3 linked regions of the Kluyveromyces lactis genome follow. The protein of the gene in region 2 purifies or fractionates together with the protein of the main gene of each other region. This does not show direct contact. Links are inferred from orthologs where the notes say so. Each region holds a gene or a part of one and is shown on either strand. Other genes may lie near its edges.

The links.
Region 1: the proteins of MAF1 (region 2) and RET1 purify together in Saccharomyces cerevisiae (affinity purification with mass spectrometry; 4 studies listed by BioGRID). This does not show direct contact. The link is inferred for Kluyveromyces lactis from reciprocal best matches to the Saccharomyces cerevisiae genes MAF1 and RET1.
Region 3: the proteins of MAF1 (region 2) and RPC40 purify together in Saccharomyces cerevisiae (affinity purification with western blotting; 4 studies listed by BioGRID, with this or other methods). This does not show direct contact. The link is inferred for Kluyveromyces lactis from reciprocal best matches to the Saccharomyces cerevisiae genes MAF1 and RPC40.

Annotation. Positions count from the first base shown.
Region 1 is NC_006042.1:96,288-101,739, reverse strand, and holds the start of RET1 (DNA-directed RNA polymerase III core subunit RET1), read right to left. Parts: upstream 3,410-5,452; coding exon 1-3,409. Other genes in the region: TFIIH/NER complex subunit TFB2, read left to right, coding at 4,084-5,452. UniProt on the Saccharomyces cerevisiae protein: DNA-dependent RNA polymerase catalyzes the transcription of DNA into RNA using the four ribonucleoside triphosphates as substrates. Second largest core component of RNA polymerase III which synthesizes small RNAs, such as 5S rRNA and tRNAs.
Region 2 is NC_006041.1:1,556,713-1,560,731, reverse strand, and holds MAF1 (RNA polymerase III-inhibiting protein MAF1), read left to right. Parts: upstream 1-2,062; coding exon 2,063-3,052; downstream 3,053-4,019. Other genes in the region: DSF2 (Dsf2p), read left to right, coding at 1-1,155; putative DNA-dependent ATPase RAD57, read right to left, coding at 3,413-4,019. UniProt on the Saccharomyces cerevisiae protein: Mediator of diverse signals that repress RNA polymerase III transcription. Inhibits the de novo assembly of TFIIIB onto DNA.
Region 3 is NC_006040.1:1,252,029-1,256,335, reverse strand, and holds RPC40 (DNA-directed RNA polymerase core subunit RPC40), read left to right. Parts: upstream 1-2,308; coding exon 2,309-3,313; downstream 3,314-4,307. Other genes in the region: KLLA0_D14905g (serine/threonine-protein kinase), read right to left, coding at 1-271; U4/U6-U5 snRNP complex subunit PRP31, read right to left, coding at 552-1,955; GLD1 (Gld1p), read right to left, coding at 3,812-4,307. UniProt on the Saccharomyces cerevisiae protein: DNA-dependent RNA polymerases catalyze the transcription of DNA into RNA using the four ribonucleoside triphosphates as substrates.

The sequences.
Region 1 (5,452 bases), on a different chromosome or scaffold from region 2:
CTAATTTCAATCTTGGTGCAATGTTCATCGCAAGCAATTCCTGGAATAAAAGTTTGGCTGCATAAGGAATAGTCATTTTGACAACATGTTCAGCGGTTTTACAGCTTGTACACCATCCACTATAACCCATCAAACCACATTTTTCACAAACATCGACTTCAAAGGCATCAGAACTTAACATTAATCTTTCCAACAATAGTTGTGAAGCACCGTATGCGATAACACAGTCACGTTCCATTTCACCCAATCTTAGACCACCATCTCTAGATCTACCTTCTGTTGGTTGACGCGTTAACACTGCCCTTGGACCTCTGGCTCTTGCGTGCATTTTGTCAAGAACCATATGCTTCAACTTTTGATAGTAGATTGGACCAAAGAAAATGTAAGCTTGTAAACATTCACCAGTAATACCAGAATAAAGCATGTCCTTACCGGAATAGTTGAAACCATTATCGACTAAAATCTTTGACATGTCTTCTAACTTAGATCCACCGAAACAGGTACCGTATTCAAGGGTACCATTCAAGACACCAGCTTTACCTGATATCAACTCAATCATTTTTCCAACGGTCATACGAGATGGGAAACCATGTGGGTTCATGATAATATCTGGTACTACACCTTGATCGTTGAAAGGAAGATCTTCTTGTTTTACGATGATACCACAGACACCCTTTTGACCATGTCTCGATGAGAATTTATCACCCAATTCAGGTCTTCTGTTTTGTCTCAATAGAACTTTGATCAAAGCCTGGTCATTATCAGAAACTGACATCATAACTTGATCAATATGAGAAGGTTCTGGAGCTCTATATACCACTGGAGTCTCCTTGTACTGAGCTTGTGTTTGAGTTAGAATGCTATCCGACGCATTAGTTGGAACAGATTTATTGACATAAATTTGTCCACTTTCAACCTTCATTCCAACTTCACCTAGCCCATCAGGGCCTAATGCTTGGTGTTGCCATATAGGCTCACCATTTTCATCAACTCTCATACCACCAATAATATCCTGAGTATGATTTGGATATCTCTTCAACACGGTGGTGTTCTTACGACGAGTTTCACAACGTCCAAAACCTCTGTCAATGGACGCTTTATTTAAAACTAACGCATCCTCGATATCATAACCGGAGTAGGACATAACTGCCACCGTAGCATTTTGACCTGCCGGAAGTTTATCGTAATCGATCAATTCAATCGTTTTGGTTTTCACCATAGGCTGTTGAGGGTATATCATTAGATACAATAAGGTGTCAATTCTTTTGAATTGATTGTATGCAATTGCACCAATAGCCTGCTTACCCATCGCACATTGATAAGTGTTACGTGGAGACTGATTATGGTGAGGATATGGAATCAAACCAGCAACTGCACCTAAGACAGTAAATGATTCAATTTCTAGATGCGTAATATTCTCAGATAGATCTTTTTCATATAATGCAATGAACGAGTCGTTTTCTTCATTAACGTCGAGATACTCGACTAAACCCAGTTTTAAGAAATCATCGAATTGTAATTTTCCAGCCAGAAGAGATCTTAAATGGTCTGCAGTAACAGAAGACTGCCCGTTCGAAACAATTATCAACGGCCTACAGATTCTTCCTCCATCAGTAGCAATATGAACTGCTTTTTGATGTGTATTGGTATATATAGAGATGAACTCTGACGCTCTACCAGTTCTTCTTAAACATCTGAATTGAGACACAAACTTTGTAGGAAATCTAGTTGTCCCTATGATTGTACCGTTTAAGTAGACACCATAATTTAAATGAATTGAAGCACTGTCAATTAAACTTATGTCTTCCACACCCAACAAGTAACAAATCCTCTTTATAGGCTCTTCTTCATCATCGGTGGTGATATGGGTCATTAATGCCAAATTTTTAACCAAACCACAGGCCTCACCTTCTGGAGTATCTGAGGTACATAACATACCAAATTGAGAAGGTTGTAGGGCTCTAGGACCTGAAACTTTTCTAGATTTCTCAAATTGAGAGGATATTCTTGTCATCATACCTAATGCTGAAATATAAGAAAGTCTGGATAAGACATGTGTAACACCTGCTCTTTCCATCTTGAAACGTTTCAAAGACCAGTTACCAGTTGAAATTGCACGATTCATACCTGTAGTAATGTTGTTGGAATGTACGTTAATGGTTAGTAAGGCATCATACATTTCAGCACGATTTGGTTTCTTTAAGACTTTATCGATGTTTGCCTTGAAATCATTATTGAACTTTTTGAATAAATCTTCAAATAACAATGACATCAATTGACCAGCCAATTCTAAACGCTTGTTACCAACATAATCTCTGTCATCAACCATCTTTGGGTTATCTATAGCCATTACGACTCTACGAGTCATCATTGCAATGTATAATGCTTTTTCTCTAAAGTCTAAAGCTTCCACTGTCAGATGAGCAATGACTGTCGTAGCGATGGCCTCGATACCTTCTTGCAAGATGGAAAGTTTCTGTCTTCTGACAGTTTTAACTTTAGTACCAATGAATTCTAAGGCTTGTTGTTGCGTGTATATTTTTAGTTCGGCAGCTTCTTCGAGATTCACCGCGAAGATATCTTGATAACTGCTATCATTACCACAAACTAACTGCATGATTTCTAAATCAGATACAACACCACAAGCCTTCAAAACAACTACAATTGGAACCTCTTCTGCGATAGAGTTATGTTTTAAGTATATTTTATCATTCTTGGTGACTACGTAAGTCTTAGATTTTCTTTCGTGGGTGGAAGATGTAACAGAAGCTTGTACGATGTTTTTCTTCTCATCTGCTTCCACAATGATACGATTCTTAGATAATTGTTCTTGAACTAAGATGACTTTTTCAGTACCATTAACAATGAAATATCCACCTGGATCTAAGGGACATTCATTTAATTTGGCCATATCATTTTCTGCTGCACCATCTAATATACATTTGTTTGATCTCAACATTATGGGCATTCTACCGATCTCCACATCTCTATGCAACACAATTGATCTTCCTCTGGTGTATTCAATATCAACAAAGATAGGAGTACTGTATGTCATGTCTCGTAATCTACATTCATGTGGTGGGGTCATAATAGCTTTGTTGCCGTTATGTTTGTATCCTACTCTAATGTCAATGTACTTCAAGTAAAACTCTGGATCGACATCAGATAATATAACCTCATTAGCTTTGATGATCTTCTTCAAATCAACATCCACAAAGTAATTAAAAGAGTCCAAATGCTGCTTTACTAACCCTTTCACCTTTAAAAAGGCAGGCAAAAGATTCCATTTATCTTCGGCAGTGTTGATCTCGTCAGTCAGCTTTTTACCTTTGAAGACGGGTTTCAAAAGAGCATCGAACGCTTCATCTTTTTCATAGCCATCAGGATTATGGGAGTCAGTGTGGTTCATTTTAGAGAATATTCAATCAGGATATTTGAAAGCTACCCTTTCCAAACTTAATTAGTGTTCCAAACAGTTAATCAAACAAAATATCTAGAAAAGAGGCAAAAAGACCAAACAAAGCTACTCTACTGAAAGTGAAAAAAGAAGGAGCCAACCAGTAAATTTCACTTAATCAAATCTTTGTTGAGGTCAGCAAATCAGTACAGTCACTAACTGCCAATAAATGCACTTCTCTTTGTTTCCATCAATATTGACAGAGCTCATCTACATTAATCATTGGCGTATTTCGATTATTTCAAATTCGAGATGAGCTTGATTTGATCTTTTTCATTTTCCAAAATTGATCTGACAGAGTGAAAAGAAATTTCTTCTGTCATCAACAAATTTTCAGTCACGTGCAAGATACATTTCTTCGTGTTACATGATATATATACACGTGACATATATTTTACTTTCAATATGCGAATGTCTGGATTTGACATGGTATCAACCTTAAGTACTATTGATTCAGATGAGCTTTTCCAAATCGGATATCATGGATGCATTGCATCGTTCGAATGCAGCAAATCGTATTAGGCTGAAATAACATTATCGATTGACGTGACCAAATTGTTGATCTCCTCACTTGGTTCTAATCTCTTGCTATTTCAAGAGGCCTTGAGCTGCATATTTTCAATACTATGAGTCTGAATCTTTTCAAGACCACCGTTAATGACTACCTAGAAGGTCTTCCAGAGCAAGTCCAATCAAGATTATATGAGTCTCCAGCGACATGTTTGGCAATTTATAGATTGCTTTCTCCCATGGCAAAATTCTTCATTATGTCGATGCTGTTTCAGGACCACGATGTCTCGCTTAGAGATTTAGATAAATGGGTCAAGCCAGATGCGAAATACCAGTTACAATACTCTATTAAATCGATGAAATCCTTGAATCTTATAATAGAAGGTGAGAGTAAACAACCTCTATTGATTCGTTTGAATCCAATTTTCAAGAAATCTTTCAAAAATGTATTAACTGGTGGTGAAATCAATAACTCTTTTGGTGATGTTGCGGATGATGATACCAATCCCGTATCTACAGCTACTTTGGACCAGTATAGTGCAGAAAAGTGGGAAACAATCTTGCATTACATGGTGGGAACACCGAATACAAACACTCCTGGTGGAAAGGTTCTAGACTTATTGCAGCATAGTGGTCTAATGGAAGAGGCAGAATATGGCGAACTCAAAATTACTAACCAAGGTTTCCAATTTCTCTTGCAAGATGTCAATGCACAGATGTGGACTCTTCTTCTTCAATATTTGAAGATGGCAGAAAGTTTACAGATGGATCCCGTGGATGTTCTAAATTTCATTTTCATGCTAGGTGCATTACAGCTAGGGAAGGCGTATAAGTGCGATCAACTAAGTAATACGCAGAGAACAATGTTACAGGATATGAGAGATTACGGATTAATCTATCAAAATCAATCGGATTATGCAAAGTTTTATCCTACCAGATTAGCCACGTTGTTGACGTCCGACACAAAAGCATTCAGAAGTGCCTCAGTCGCTCTAGACAGCGTGTTAAATAAAGCTAATGAAACAACAGCTGTAGAAGGAGACAGTGGACAAGATGAAACTACAGAGCGAACTCAAGACGGTGCCTTGATTATAGAGACTAACTTCAAACTATATTCATATTCTAACTCCCCATTGCAAATTGCTATTCTATCGCTATTTGTCCATCTAAAATCAAGATTTGCGAATATGGTGACTGGACAGCTTACGAGAGAATCTGTAAGAAATGCTTTATTGAATGGTATTACTGCAGAACAAATTATAGCATACCTTGAAACTCATGCTCACCCGAGAATGAGGCGATTGGCAGAAGAGAATTTGAGTAAAAAATTAGAGTTAGACCCCACCGTGAAGGAGACCCTTCAGGTTTTACCTCCAACCGTTGTTGACCAAATACGATTGTGGCAACTTGAGTTGGATAGAATCATAAGTTACGATGGATATCTATACACAGATTTCGAGTCCTACCAAGAATACCAAACTGTAG
Region 2 (4,019 bases):
TTTTCATTTAAGAATTTGTTCAAATCACCAAAGGTAAGTCATCACCAACCTGAAACTCCAATAAATGATTATTCATCGCCAATGAGCAACAAGACGATTGTGGATACTCCTGGAAAATCTACTTCCGTACCAAATACACCGACATCTAAGTTCAAGTTCCCACATCAGCTCAATCTTGGTGAAGAAAATGAACGCTATGACAAGGAAGAGAACACTGTCTCACTTTATAAGGACAAGAATGAATCACAAACTACGAATGTAAATCAAAGCACCAATCATAAACGTAGTCTCTCCAAAGGAAGAGGAATCTTTTCGCATATCACTCATGCAAATAATCAAAGATCTGAACCACAAACATCATCCTCTTCGAGCTCCAAACAGAGCTCAGGGTCTGCTTCGAGATCACAACATAGTTATAAAATGTTATTGGATCCAAGGCCAACGATTTTACCAGTAACCACTTTAGGTGGTAGAAAACCTTCTACAACCTCTTCCTCGTCCAATTCATCTACTGCATCTAGGAACGACCGTGAACCTGTCGTCCAACCATCATCTACATCACAAGGTGAACTAGTGCAGAGAAATAACTCTAACAAACGTCTCATTGCAAAACAACGAATCAATATTGCCATTGAATTAAGAAACAAAGGTGACCTGAAAGGGTCAACTGCACATCTCAAAGAAGCGTGTAAATTGGAGGACAGAACAGCTTTTTTGCTGTATGGTCTTGCCTTAAGATACGGGTCTGGTACCGAAATCGATTTACACGAATCATTTAACTGGATTAGAGGTGCAACGGGTATCAAGGATTTCAAAACCAGCGTATTACATGCAAATATAGATCCATTTGAGATACGTGAACCGCTTCCATCTCTACAGAATGACGCAGCTGCCCCCGCTCTGTACGAATGTGGTATAGCTTATATGAAGGGATACGGTGTCACTGCTCATGAATGGAAGGGTCTGAAATGTTTGGAATATGCAGCATCGTTGGGACACGTTGATTCTATGTGTTTATGCGGTACCATTTGGTCAAAGACGACTCCAAATAGGAAAAAAGATTTAAGACGAGCAGCTAAATGGTTCAGACTCGCAAAGGATCAAGGAGCAGATCTAATTGGAGCAGACTGGATCTATAAAACGGACTATCTATAGTTATCGTTCACTCACAGAGCAAGCTCCTCTCTAACAACATTTATTTCACATAGTAACATTAATTTCTAATATCATAATACTTTAATTCTTTACCGCATAAAAAGTTGTGGTTGCCACGGATTTGTACATACAGGAACATACATAAAGCAACTTCTTTTTGACTATAGAATGTCAATGTTAGCTTGGAGATGGTAGCTTCTGTTCAATGGTGCTGTCTGCTTTCAACTCACCTAGCTGTGGCCTCATAACTGAGGGTTACCCGACCTTTTAATGCGCGTTCCCGTTTCTCGAAGTAACATGTGCTGAGTTGAAATTATCACAAAGACCGATAACGCTGCCCTTACAATGAGTTTTCGAACAGCCAACCATAACAAGCTTGATAGGAGGCCGTCAATTTAGTTGAATCTAGCACAGTGTGTCTTTGAGCTCTCAAGAATACTGTTTTATTTTCAAACGTTTCACCGCTTCCAATTAACCTGCAATAATGAAGGTATGCGAATAATCGTGTTTTAATATAGTTCTGACATATTCATAATGAACAAACGGAATACTAACCTTATATTAACGGCATGTATGTATATTTTTTGCATCATGTGTTACTTAACATCTTTTAAAGTTTATCGATGAATTTGATTTAGAGGTTGTTAACCAGGCTCTTAATTTCGAGACCTCGGACTGCAGTATCACAGGTGGTTGCGACATTTTCACGACAAAGCCCGTAGCTTCAGATAAGAAGCTTTATAAGACCATAGATCGTCATTTGGAGTCCTTACTTCAAGAAAGTGAGTCGCTTACTGCTGCAGCTCACAGGAGGCAATCTTTTGACGAAAAGAACAGAACTATCGATGAAAATGTGCAAGAGCAACAGAGCCCAAACCCTAATTCATTCTGGGAACAAAAGAGAAGGATGTCTGTTAGCGAGAATTCGAGTGGGACAAATAGTTCGTCACCTATAATAAAATCTAATAAGTTGAACGACCAAAATTTGAAGGAATTCGTGCTGTCAACTGACAGTACAAATTTTGTCACGAATGGACACAACAATAGTAATAGTAGTACCACCAATGCTAACTCCAATAACGGATATTTGAGTTCATCATCAATGGAATCGGGGCCTTTAGGGATCGCTTCACAACGTCCCAGTTTCCTAAGGAGGACTAGCAGTGCTGGAAGCATTGCAAGCAACCATACCGATACTTCGAAAAGAAGACCTAGCACAAGTGGTTCAGCGAATGAAATACAAAATACTTCATACCAACAGAGGAGGAGGTCATCGGTACAAGGAAGAGACAACGTAAATATTGGACCGTTTGGACCTATCAACGAAACTGCTAGCAGGAGAGCTTTCGCGTATCTAATAGCCATTTTGAATGCGTCCTATCCGGATCACGATTTTTCGTCATTAGAGCCCACCGATTTCGTGAAATGCACCAAGAAAAGTTTCATCTCGAAGTTCGAAAATACCTTGATATCTTTAGGAAAACCACCTCAGGAATGGATCTGGGAAACGATCAACGGACATATGGATATCAACGATTGCGCTTTCTATCAATATGTCCCTCAAAAATCGTTTCTTGAAGATGAGCCTGGCCATCTTTGGTCATTGATGTGGTTTTTGTTCAATAAAAAAAGGAAAAGAGTCGCATATGTTTATCTAACAGCATGCCGTTTGAAAGGAACTCCCTCTGTTGGAAATAGTGTCATATTGGCGGATGACGAAGATGAAAATTCAAGTAAACTAGAATCAGAACGTAAACAGAGAAGGAAATTGACGTTAGATAACGACAACGATTTTGAAGGCGAATATGATTTAACTTATGAGGAGAATGCTATAATTGATGATGATGAGGGCATCAACGAAGATTTCAAGGATGAAGCCATGGATGATCTTAACTGATTATCATTACATTTTCGAACCAACTTATCGCTTTCCTGTATTTTTATTGAATTACCTTCCCCAAGTTCACGATAGCTAAAGCAGTGCATTATTTGGATGTTGTAACCTATAGTATTTCTTCTTGCTGTATCATTTTTTTCTAACTCTCTCTGTCTTTCTACCTATGTTTTATTATTAACACTATTGTTCTTATTTCAAATATAAATATAAAATCATGACAGTCCTTCTATGACGTAAACTGAACCTTTCCATACAAAATAAATACGCAACACGTAACACTTTATATGATTCAAAGTTGCTTAATTATATTTCTCCATATCTTTGAGTTTTCTTGACAGGAGTTAAAGCGCAATTGATATATCACTGTACCGAAATAACACCTTCTCCACTAATCGCAAAATTCATTTCACCTTTCACCGCATAAGTCGAAAACACTAGCTTCAGATTTCTCTGCACTTGCCAAAATTGAGAGGTATCTGTTGTATTGTTGTAATTGAATTCCCCCGTGCGTACCATAGGTGATGCTTTATATCGTTTCTCCAGTTTTATTCTTGTCATTAAATGGTTAGCCCAAGTTAAACCGAGATTTGGTACCTTCGTGTCAACTTCTCGTTTCCTTCTTGATAACAGGAAAGGTGCGGATGGTTGGGGCTGTGACGGTACCACAGGGGTTTTACTTTGAGTAGGCTGAGGTGAGTTTTGTTGAGAGATAACATTATTCCGCAGCGCTTCAGTCCTCAATGCTGCGACAGACTGCGCAGGGTCTTTATTATTTGTATCTGGAACACTAGCCGGAACATTCTGTTGTAATTTCCTTGCAACCTGGTCTACAATTAACGTATAGTCCTCATCGTCACTCAATATGGTCTCATCATATTTCTCTATTTCATTGAATTTGTGTCTATAAAAAATAGTCGAATTCTTCCATCCGATGTTCCAGCCCAGCTGATAATCATAATCCTTGAAG
Region 3 (4,307 bases), on a different chromosome or scaffold from region 2:
AGGACTTCTTATAGAAATCTTTGGGTAGTTTCTTTGGCGACTTGGTAATGTCTGCCGTCAAATCTCCCTGAGTATCATCGTCGATATCCATGAGCGAGTTTTCAGGGTTTTTTACTATCGATCTAGTAGGAGACGGAGAACCACGTATTCTCGTTGGAGTGCTTGGGGGATCTAGCATAACTTTAGCATCCGTATCAAAACTGAAATTGACCATATCGTCGACCAATGCGTCGACCTCCTTGTGACGACCATTCGCATCTCTTGTAAACATTTCTTATTTTAAACTGTGTGATTGAAGTATGTAAATAAAACCGTTAGTGCTTCAGGTCAGACACGTTACTTCTGACTTGACACAATGAATTATCGGCAGATCTGATCGAATAAGAGACCCTAAAGTTCAATGGTTAAGTTGTGTTCTTTGTTTAAAGTTTTCAATTCGAACATTGGATCATCTTTTTGTGTTTTGGTTTTGCCATAATAGGAATCGTAATTACAGATCTATGAATAGACATATACAGGGTATAAAAGGTACACGGCAGAACTATGGTGTCTCACAACCGTGGTTGTTTGCTGGTGGCGGGGTCCGTAGCTTGTGGGTGCTCTGCACTACGTTTGAGCTTTTCGGACCTCTCATCCTGTAGGAAACTGTGCGTGTTTTTAGTCTCTTGATCTAATCTTAAACGCATAGATTTACGCATTTTGGTCTTATTGAAAGAGGACAATGCGGAAACGTTCTTTGAATCGGCCATCCCGAACCCTATTTCTTCTCCGTATGGGTCCATGGTGGTCTGTTCCTCTTTACCGAACTCCATTCTGTTTTGCATTTGCCTTAGATGCGACATCTTGAACTGTTCTTTGTACTTACGGAACCTTCTACCAGCTCTTTTCTTCTTTGGAGCGTCTTCTGGGATCGGCAACGGCTTGATGTTACTGATATTCGGCGGATCTATTATCTTCTTGAGTTTTTCAACGATTTCATGCCTCCATTTCAAGCCCAGCTTCGAGGCATCTGAGTTCCCATCTGAATTCCCATCTGGGTTAATGACTTGATTCCCCATGGTGCAATCCGCTCTCGCAGCAAGAGCAACCTTGGCAGAGACCATTCTAAGCGCCTGTTTCTGGAACTCAGGAGGCTGTGTTTGTACCACGTCTGTATAGAATAGATATCCCTTTTGTCGTACCCCAGAGATATCTAACGATTTGCCATGCAACGTTTTGTCCTGGCCAATGGATGCCAAATTACAACTGGGAACCACACTTAGTTCTTTAACACTACCACAATGTGTTACCAGTTTAGCTGCAGTATCAGGTCCCAATAAAGCACATAAGTTTGGAGCTACCATTTGTATTCTTGTCTCAACATAGTGTGAGACGTTGTCCCGTAAGTTGTACAGAATATCGAACCAATGGATGGCCTTGGAGAGGAGATCCTTATCAATTCGAGCACCCTCTTTGAAATCTGTCTTTAGAGACATAGATACCACAAGGGTTTCCTCCTTCGATAGCACTTGGTCTAATTGCACGTTGGGAATATCCTGTTGCAGCATCTTGACCACGTCGACGTATTGTTTCCTTTCAGGGACAATAGTTTCCAACCCAGGGAACTTGGCCTTGTAGGTATCTACAATGCATTGAAACACCATGGAAAGCTCTGTATCGAATAAAGGCATCAATTGGCCCAGTTTTATGACATTGTAAGGCTCTGTCGTATGGTTTGTTGCATCTCGTATTATAGTTTCGTGCTTGGCAAGTTGGATGAGGTCATCTAAATCCGCGCCTTGGTGCCAGAATTGCGCGTGAAAGTCAGATATTAGGTTGCTAACACTAGGAGAGGGTAAAATATCCGATTCTGTGGCTATACCACTGGTTATACCACTGGTTACACCACTTAACCCATCATCCAAGCTTTCCTCATCGCTGACACTTCCATAATCTTCGTCATCTAAAAGGTCCATTATCACCTTGTGAAAGAGTAAGACAGGGGAATATGGTTATCCAGTTACAATCCAACTGTAAAATACCACATACTGAACTAACTGAGGATGGTCAAAAGAGCAGTAATCGACTAGTACCTGCTCTCGAGTAGCTATCTCATCGCATTTCTACCAATCTTTAATCATATATAATCACTCTATACGATGTGATCTTTTCTTTTCCAAAAATTTTTCAGTTCTTTAAAGCGATGAGATGAGCTTGAGATGAGGTATCTACACCGATGAGACGGACCTTGACCAGTGTCATAGGGCTTTTCTGAGGTCGTTTGAGAGCTCAAGAGGTAGCATAAACGTAGCAATACAATTGAAAAAGGATGTCCAATATCGTTGGTGTTGAATATAACCGTGTGACGAACACAAGTTCAACAGATTTCCCTGGATTTAGTTCGGATCAAGACAATTCATGGGACTTGGAGAAGTTCAAGGAAACTTTTGACGTACAAATCGAGAGTTTGGATGAGCGTGAAGTGAATTTCGATTTGGTTCATGTCGACACATCGATTGCTAACGCTTTCCGTCGTATTATGATCTCAGAAGTACCATCTGTCGCTCCAGAATACGTCTACTTTTTTAACAATACGTCTGTGCTACAGGACGAAGTGTTGGCGCATAGAATCGGGTTAGTGCCATTGAAGGTGGATCCAGATATGTTGAGTTGGGTGGACACGTCATTGCCCGAATCTGAAAGGTTTACAGATGAAAATACGATAGTGATGTCGTTGAACGTGAAATGTACCAGGAACCCAGATGCTCCAAAGGATTGTGAAGACCCCAAGGTTCTTTATAGAAACGCGCATATCTATGCTAGGGACCTTAAGTTTGAGCCTCAGGGGAAACAGGTGGAACAATTTGCCAAGTGTCCCGTGGTGGCAGCGGATCCAGATATCTTGTTGGCCAAGTTGAGACCAGGTCAAGAGATTTCGTTAAGGGCACATTGTATTCTAGGTATCGGTGCAGACCATGCCAAGTTCTCTCCGGTGTCGACAGCTAGTTATAGACTATTACCACACATCCAGATCACACAGCCTATCACCGGTGATGATGCCAAGAAATTTGTGAAATGTTTCCCTAAAGGTGTCGCAGATGTCAACGAGAAGGGTGAAGCTTATATCAAGGATCCAAGGAAGGATACCGTGTCCAGAGAGGTGTTGAGACACGATGAGTTCCAGGGGAAGGTTAAGTTGGGTAGGGTGAGAGACCACTTCATCTTTAACGTGGAGAGTTCTGGTGCTATGACACCGGAAGAAATCTTCTTCAAATCGGTCAGGATCTTGAAGAACAAGGCGGAATACTTGAAGAACTGTCCAATCTCACAATAAGAAGCCAATTCGCATGTTCTCTATTTAATATCATCCACTCCCTTCCATACACAGACAAACCGTGCATCATAATTCCATTTCTTTCATTCCCTGTATCATACGCATTAAGCCACTCAGTGAACAGATTAGGCACTTATATATATTCATATATAAAGAAGCCACTACATCTAAACTAGTTTAATGTACATTTGTTTTTAGATTCAACTGTGTTACACCATCGCATCTACATTTGTCGGTTCAAACGTCTCCTGATCCTGCGCCATTGGCCGTGCTTTGGTTATAAGATTTTCGATCATGGCTTTTGGATCCACTTCGAGTATCAAGACGTTACCATTATATCCGTCACTCAGATCACTCTGGGCTTTCTGTGTATAGGTTTCGTCCGCGACTTCGTGATCTTTGAATGGTGAGATGGATAGTACAGTTACGAGGAATAGCCCTACTTGAAAGAATAGAATTAGCAGTTGGTAGAAAAGGTACGATGCGTTACCCTTAAAATTACTCGAGGGCACTCGTTCTCCAATATACTGGGTGAACCCAGTGCCTTCTCAATTCCCCCTCTATTATGCCTGTTCCATGGTTAAACGGCGATGGGTAGTTTTCTAGATGTGATATCCCAGGCATTTTGAAGTGCTCCAAATTCTTCTCGAAGTCTATTGGCCATATGATTCCTGCGAAAATGACAAAGAAGTTGAGCAGTAATGTGGTGTGTATTAAGACCAATTCAATTCTCTTGAAAGCCTTCCTGAGTGCAACGTTCGGATCAGTTCCGTCGGTCGCTTGGGCCCTGTAGTAGTTCATGAATGCCAGGAGTCGAGTATCGGTTGGGTATGGTGCATTTAAAAGTGATTGAAGCGCAAGCCGTATCACAAATAGTACGATGTTACCTGCAAATTTGATTTGAGATATGATTATCACTGTATATCCCAAGAGTTGGAGCTGTGATTTCAATTCATGACGGAATTCTTTTATCTTCATTCGATAGCTCCTTAAG